Linked DNA regions of Xenopus tropicalis. The protein of the gene in region 1 purifies or fractionates together with the protein of each later gene. This does not show direct contact. Links are inferred from orthologs where the notes say so. Each region holds a gene or a part of one and is shown on either strand. Other genes may lie near its edges.

Region 1 (4,274 bases):
ATTCACATTTTTCAAAACAACTGGAGTGCTGCTGTTTTCATCATTTTTGAAAACTACTCCTGCTGTCACTTCTTAGCAAGCGGATAGCCAAACTAAATAATGGGGCAGTTGGTAGGTCAGCCAGTGTATAGGCACTGACACTGAAACAATGGAGCTTAATTTAAAAGTTTAAAACTATCAGATGCATTTCAACAATAAGGACACCTTTTTCTGAGAAACCAATAAATGTAACTGCCCTTTCCTTAATATCCCTTTTGCCAAAAGGGATATTTTGCCTTTTGACAAAGTCTATTTTTACCATCAGATAACAGCCCTAGCCACAGGGGAGATACCTCTGGCTTAAAGGAACAGTAACACCAAAAAATGCAAGAGCTTTAAAGTAATAAAAATATAATGCACTGTTGCCCTGCACTGGTAAAACTGGTGTGTTTGCTACAGTAACACTACTATAATTTATATAGTAAGCTGCTGTGTAGCCACGGGGGCAGCCATTCAAGCTGGAAAAAAGGCACAGGTTACATAGCAGATAACAGATAAAACACTATTGTATTCTACAGAACTTATCTGTTATCTGCTATGTGCTGGTGCCTTTTCTCCTTTGAATGGCTGCCCCCATGGCTACATAGCAGCTTATTTATATAAATTATAGTAGACTTTCTGAAGTAAACACACAACTTTTACCAGTGCAGGGCAGCAGCACATTATATTTTGGCTACTTTTATTCATTTTTTGGTGTTACTGTTCCTTTAAAGGAAAAGCATACCCCAGAACAATGTAGGTCTCTTTAAAAAAAAAAAAACCTAAGAGATTATATATATATATATATATATATATATATATATATATATAGTGAACCCAGGGTGGCACTCTGCTTCAGCTCTTAGCTCCGGTGCAAGGTAAATGATTTAAATATCCAAAAAAGACCAGCAGCACCGAGTTATATTCCAAAATCAATCAATTGTGGCTGTTTATGCGTTTTTAATACACAATTGTTTTTGGAATATAACTCGGTGTTGCTGGTCTTTTTTGGATATATAAATAAACTTAAACACAACCAGCACCAAGGGTCTTATAGTTCAAACAATCTCAAGTGTATTGCATGTATAACAGACACTTTCGAAAAAAGTCCGAAAAGGGACTGAAACGTTGGTTATACATGCAATACACTTGAGATTGTTTGAACTATAAGACCCTTGGTGCTGGTTGTGTTTTATTTTGTATTCTGTGCACAAGGGTGGCTATCTAATTGCATTTTGGAGTGAGGTGCTGTCGTGAGGACTTCTTATATATTTATTAAAAAAAACAGCTAACATATAAAACTCTACTTTATCTAAATAAACCATTTTTAGAAAAATAACCTTTTTTAGTAGTATGTGTCATTCCAAAATAGAAAACTGGAATTTTAAGTACTAAGGGCTACCACCACACCAGATTATATGATTTTCATGATTCATGGGGCACACATACATCATACCAGCCAATTAACAGAAGTTCTGTCTTTTACTACCACACTACTTCCTGTTAAAGTTAGAGATGCAATATTTTTGGCCAGGTGATCTCTGAGGGAGCACACAGACCATCACAAAACGGCAGCTTAAGGTAAAAGGGGTAATATTTACTGATATATATGCTCCAGATTGGAAATATTCTTAAATAGGCCACTTAAATACCCAACAAATACTTTTCATCATATTATTCTGAAGGTATAGTTTTCCTTGTGTCAGGACAACTGAAAGTGATGCTGTTTTTTATTATGTGGTGTTATGTAGGAAAAGCATCTTGTTGCCGTTTCACTAAATATTTTTGTCTTTGCTGGAGAACTAAAGTAAAAATATAATTTTAATCTCTAACCTGCTGCCCTGCACTGGTGTTTGTCTTCATTAGAAAGCACACTGTCCCAGACTACTTGACAGTTGCCTCCATTTTCTTGCCTGTTTCCCAGCATCCGCTGCAGCTCCCTGGAAAGGGGTGATTACTGTACTGTATATGCACCCAACATAATTGGCACAGAGGATTGGGACTACACACTCTGCAGTCCAGTGCGTTTTCCAAAGACAGGGGTAGGGGCAGGGGTAACAGCATAGCCATTTGAATGACTTTAGTTCTCCTGTAATATGTCACAATTACAGGAGAACTAAAGTGATTCTGTAATATATCACAATTACTATACTTGCAGGGATTCGTTAACCATTTGTGCGCTGGTGTTTTGCTTGCAATGTGTTCACATCCGAGCTGTGTGTTTATGTTCCGTGCAGAAGGTGTGCTTGTTTGTTTCAGACAAACGGATGTGTTGTTATTGTGTAGCAGCAGCAGCAATGTTACTACAGGATAGGAAGTGCGGCATGTGAGGCAAGTGCGGTATTGTGAGAATTGTGAGGCAAGTGCGGTATTGTGGGGACTGGCTAAGAAGACAATGTCAGTAAGTGAGGAGGCTGTGCTGTTATTGTGTGGCGGGCTCGCTCACCGGGTAGAGGTTCCCTTGCGTACATCGCACATCAGGCACTTGAAGGCCTCGGCGCTGTTCTTAAAAGTGCACACGCTACAGTCCCAGTATCCTTCGTCTGATGAAGGCTTCGGCTGCCTCTTCGGCCTGGGGGAAGAGGAAATTGTTAGAGACAAGGGCATACACGCTGACAAGGCGGCCTGTTCCCCTAGCCCCGGCCTCGGGCGCTTCTAACACAGTGAAAAGGAGATTGCCTAGGCAATCCTCGCAGCCTCTCACCAGCTTCTACTTCCTTTTTTGCTTTAGCCGTGCTCTTACCTGGTCGGACTCTTCTTGTCTCCCATGCTGCTTCAGAGGAAGCTGAGCGCAGGCCGAGCGGGGAGAGAGCCCGGGCTATGAGGCGGGAGTGGGCGCCTACACCGACCGCGATCAACCGCAGCCAGCTGTCCACCGCAACACGTGACCTGGCGCGACCAATAACAGGCCGACAAAGCAATACCAGAGCCGCTTGGAAAACTAAAGCGACTTTGCTTGATGTATGTGCGGAGAAGAGGCCGTAAGGGGCTGCCTTATGGTCGGCATTACTATGGAAAAGAAAGCGCACATGAAAAAGTCCGAGCATAAAGGAAATCTGCCCGGGGATACAAGGAAATGCGCAGGGCAAATGTAGGCGCACGTAGCGTGTGATGGAGGAAGCGCTGGCAAACACCGCTGGTTGTCTCATAATCAACACAAACGACTGTAGCTGAAAGGACCGTGGCTCTTCTTCTGTCTCTACCTCAGTAATGGAGTTAAAGAATACTGAGCCAAAGCAATGCAAGGCTAAGGCAGCCGGGCCTCTCAGCTAAACAGCAAACTTAGAGGAGTTGTGTATCCGCATGTTTAACACAGACGCATTCAACGGGGCTTGTACTCAACATACTTTTCCCAGTTGTTTTAATTAAGCGATATTGTTGCCATGTATTACACAATAGGGCAATAACTAAACTAAAAGCAGTTTCACTTTACAACTTCCTGTGGTTCTCCTAAGCATCTGGTGAGGGTGGTGAATAAGTCAGTAAAAGAGAAAAATGCAGCTTTAAATCACTAGTCCCCCAATCAGAAAGCCTCACAGAAACTGTAGCTATTTGATTATGGGTGGGGGTTGTTTATACAATGCTCAATAGCTATAAACTTATTACAGGGGGAAGGAACTAAAGGTAAAATCATAATTATGATATGTGCCTAATAACAGAAAAATAAATATATGCTTTCAAGGGACATTATACAACATTGCTAAAAAGAACTTAAAATGTTTTGGGAGACATCAGAATAATAATGAGAAAAGGAATAATGGTAAGGTCTTAATAGGGGACCTGTCACCTTAAGAAATAATTCCAAATTCTTTTGTCTTATTTGAGCAAAATAAACTTTACATTTTCTTTCATTCATTCTTACAATTTACAGTCACAAGCACAGGCACAATTTTGTGGACATTTTTATTAAGGGAAACTTTGTATCACCTTTAAAATCTTGTGTATGTGCCAGAATTGGGGACCTGATGCCAATGCACAGACACAATTATAGACAGTTATTTGAAAGGGAAAATGTGAGGAGGGCATTGACATTGGAATTGGCATTGATTTGGGAGTACAGAATGGAAAGTAAAAGTGATTTTGTCAGATTATATATTTTGTAAAATACCATCACTTTAATAACTGTAATGGCGCTTCTGCAATATACCAATCATCTCTGTGCATGATAGGTTTTAAAGTTATTTGTAAATGTTATTGCAATTGAAATATTTGTTTGTTGAACTTTTTCTTCTTTGGTTTTGACTCTTCAAAAAATA
Region 2 (3,655 bases), on another chromosome or scaffold:
AGTTGATATCGATGTAGAAGTAGGATCAGTGCAGATGGATGAACCGTCTACAGCTGTGGTAATGCTATGGCGGTCAGTGGCAGAAATGGAAGCTGTTGTGCTGGCTGACTTATTTAACTCTGTTGAAGTCACTTTTGGATCAGTGGTTAACGGCCTCCCCAAAGGAGAAGTAAAAGTATGTGCATGCAGTTCTGTAGGTGCTATAATGCTAGGTAGGCATCTTTCCTGCAGGCAGGGTGGCAGCATGGGAAGAGTCAATGTTGACGTTACTCCAAATGTAGTTGGTAAGGTAGCTACACCAAGAGGTTGCCCACAGTTTGGAGGGGGGATGTAAACCAAGGGTTGGCTTGGGGATAGGACTGCTCCAGGTGTAAAGGACAGCGGAAGTTTCTGCACATTTGGGACCTGAGTGGTAGAAAAACATATTCTACTCATAGCAAAAGGAGTCAGAGTGCCAAAACTAGAAGAGACAACAGTGTGTGAAGCCTCCATTTGCTGACCTACTGATTGTAAGCCAGCAGCCAGAACATTTTTTTGCAGCCCAGAATGATCTGCATCAGCAGGCAAAGAAGATTTCTCTGGAACAGGAGCCCTAGCAGACTCTGTTCTTTTACTGTCTGGAGTTGAAGTTGCTTGGATGGAGATATCCAACATGTTGGTAACTTGCTTGCTGTCTGATGGCAACGTATTATCATGGACCTTGGGTACCACTGTGTCTCCTGAAGTTAATATAGAATCTGGGGGCTTCTCCTCTAGTCTCTGCCCAGTTTCCACTGCACCCCCATCTTCCTGAAGCATCAGAGCATCACTTTGTTTGGCTCCTGACGTGAACTCCACCTTATGTAAAAAAAAAAACAAAAAAAAGTCAGTGACTACATTTAAGAAATATAAAACAGTGTCCATCCAGTAGTTAAAGGACACATTTCAAATGCTAGAGTCACCAGGCACCAGAGTCAGTTACCTTATGTAAAAAAAAAACAAAAAAAAGTCAGTGACTACATTTAAGAAATATAAAACAGTGTCCATCCAGTAGTTAAAGGACACATTTCAAATGCCAGAGCCACCAGGGCAAAGAATAGAAAAGGACTAGCAAACAATACTTCTAATAGCAATTATATATACAAATAAGTAAATAAAATTGCAAATTTGTAAAGAATGTTTATTGCAAAGTTGCTTAGAATTATGTTTTTGTTATTAGGCAAAAGAATCTCTGCTATAGTGGGAGACTAACCGCTCTGAAATGACTTTCAGCCGACAACAACAGGAGTGGCCGGTGGAAATCCCTTTGCATCACTTCATTTTCTGAAGTCACGCAAAAGTTGCCTGCAGGAGGATAGATCTCTGCTACCTCAGACAACTAACTGCTTTAAAACGCCTTTCCACCAGCAACAATAGGGGTCACCGGTGGAAAGGCCTACCCATTGCTTCGGCTTTCCAAAGACGCACAACGTTTCCTCCTGCAAGCAACTTTGTGCAACTTCGGAAAACCAAAGAAATGCGTAGGCCTTTTCACCGGCAAATCCTATTGTTGCCGGTGGAAAGGCATTCTAGAATGGTTAGTCACCCCCCCCAGTAGGAGAGATCTATCACGCGCAACTATCTCACTCCATGAGACATTAGCCTAAAACATGAAATGGCAAATGTTTTATTTCAAAATACAAATAGAAGCATTTAACTGCATAGTTCATCCACTGACAAAGTAGGCAGGCTGTGCTTAACCCCACAAATTACTTACAAAGTGGTCTTTCTATCCAATACTAATTGACAAGGTTTCTGCAAACTCACCTTGGATAAGAAGCTGTTTACACAATGATCTTCAGACCCCCGGTGCTGGGAACAGCTGGTTTTAGACTCCTCATCAGATAGTGATGTTCTCCTGTCCAAGGGCAAGGCAGAGAATTATAGTGGGTGTTGGCTGAGTAACTGGACTTCATTCAGTTTATAAGTACTCAGCTCATGCCACTGCAAACCTAGAATTATTAAAAGGTGCAGCACCACTCCTATTAGTTGTATTTAATTACATATACCTTACTCATTTATGTACTTATATTTTTAGATTTAATAAGGGATGTTACCTGTCCTCGTTAATGCCGCACATGCGCACACGGTCCACACTGGTCCAGTTGTGCACACCGCTGTAAAGCGGGGCGGCCGATAGCATGGCAGGCGCTCACGCCCAAGAAGCTATGAGAGGTGACCACAGATCTTCTGGTTGTGTCTTCTGTGTTCTATAGGAGATTTACCTGGTGGCAAACAGAATACATACCAATCACTCAAGAGATGTATTTGCATAAATACTAGACTTTAAGTGTAAAACATGCTGGGAAAAGCCAATATGATCCACTGCTGAAAATTAGTGACATATTATAACTGAAGGTAATAATTGCATAAGAAAAATTGCCTTCAAACTCTGTTACCAATGGGGCTATGGATATTTTTGCACCAGGAAAAGACTGGCATACTGTAACATTGTGGAAACTGGTCAAAACAAACTAAACAAAGATTCATTATAGTAGAAGAAATATAAATAAAGGGTCTACCAAGAAGGTTTCAGGCAGGCTCTACAACTTTGTAGGATGTGTTGGATCACATAAACATGCTATGGTATATGTCCTTTAGAGCTGCTATTTTAAACTAAGTCTTAAAGTGTTGCTCACAGTTCAGCTACAGAGTTCTGGGTACTTCAAAGCAAACTGGACGCTACTGTGCATTATGCATTATGGCAGTCCCCCTCGTCTAACACCACCAAATGGAAGAATAATAGGTAATAATGAATAAATATTTGACAAACAAATAAGCAGTTCCATTTTTCAAAAAAAACATTTTTTGTTGATTAGATGAGAACACTTAAATCCTTAAAAAGGAACATAAAATGCTGCCATAGTAACACCATTTTCTAAATGTTCTGTTTAATATACATTTTATGGATTCAGAAGTTGGAAATATGGTAAGCCCATTCATCTTACTCCAAAAGGGATTGATCTTGTAAATACCTTCCTACTCCATCACCCAAAACAGAACAGTGGGTCATTCAGTATTCCTGATGCTAATTACAATGCAAAAAATAGATTCCACTCATCACCAACACCAAGTCAACTGTTTTACTGTCAAACATGGAAAACATGGGTTACCAGAACTGCAGTATGCTACTAAAGTTACACAGGATGTTTTTGGTTTAATACAAAGGGAACATGCACTCACTGTCCAGTCATTTTTTAACTGGTCAAAACTCTAAGTGATCGGTCCTGTTCGATTACAGACCTACTAAAAGAGTTCAGTTGTTACAGACCTCTAATTAGAGAGCATGGGACTTCCAATTACTGCTTAAAATACAGTACCATACCATATTTGTTTTCTTCTGACATAAGCCATTTAGGATTTACCCTGCTATTTTAACAGCAGAACCTAAGTCCTCCTAATTTGTTTACCTACAATTATGTTCTGAAAACCAAAGAAATTATAGTATGATTGAATCTTTTTGGCAGTGAAGACAGCATTTTAAAAATGACTTTTTGAAAAGTTTGCATAGATTTAGACCAAATAAATCTGTTATGGTAATGTTATAATATAGAACCTTACTAGGTTGATTTTCCCATTTTTCAGCAAATTTGATATTTTCATATTCAGGTTTTGGCAGGTTTTGGAAGATCACATT

The links.
Region 2: the proteins of yaf2 (region 1) and bcorl1 purify together in Homo sapiens (affinity purification with mass spectrometry; 5 studies listed by BioGRID and IntAct, counting the BioPlex papers as one, with this or other methods). This does not show direct contact. The link is inferred for Xenopus tropicalis from reciprocal best matches to the Homo sapiens genes YAF2 and BCORL1.

Annotation. Positions count from the first base shown.
Region 1 is NC_030679.2:64,862,244-64,866,517, reverse strand, and holds the start of yaf2 (YY1-associated factor 2), read right to left. Parts: upstream 2,883-4,274; 5' UTR 2,788-2,882; coding exon 2,762-2,787; intron 2,591-2,761; coding exon 2,465-2,590; intron 1-2,464. UniProt on the Homo sapiens protein: Binds to MYC and inhibits MYC-mediated transactivation. Also binds to MYCN and enhances MYCN-dependent transcriptional activation. Increases calpain 2-mediated proteolysis of YY1 in vitro.
Region 2 is NC_030684.2:55,013,064-55,016,718, forward strand, and holds part of bcorl1 (BCL-6 corepressor-like protein 1), read right to left. Parts: intron 2,244-3,655; 5' UTR 2,162-2,243; coding exon 2,076-2,161; intron 1,877-2,075; coding exon 1,786-1,876; intron 838-1,785; coding exon 1-837. UniProt on the Homo sapiens protein: Transcriptional corepressor. May specifically inhibit gene expression when recruited to promoter regions by sequence-specific DNA-binding proteins such as BCL6.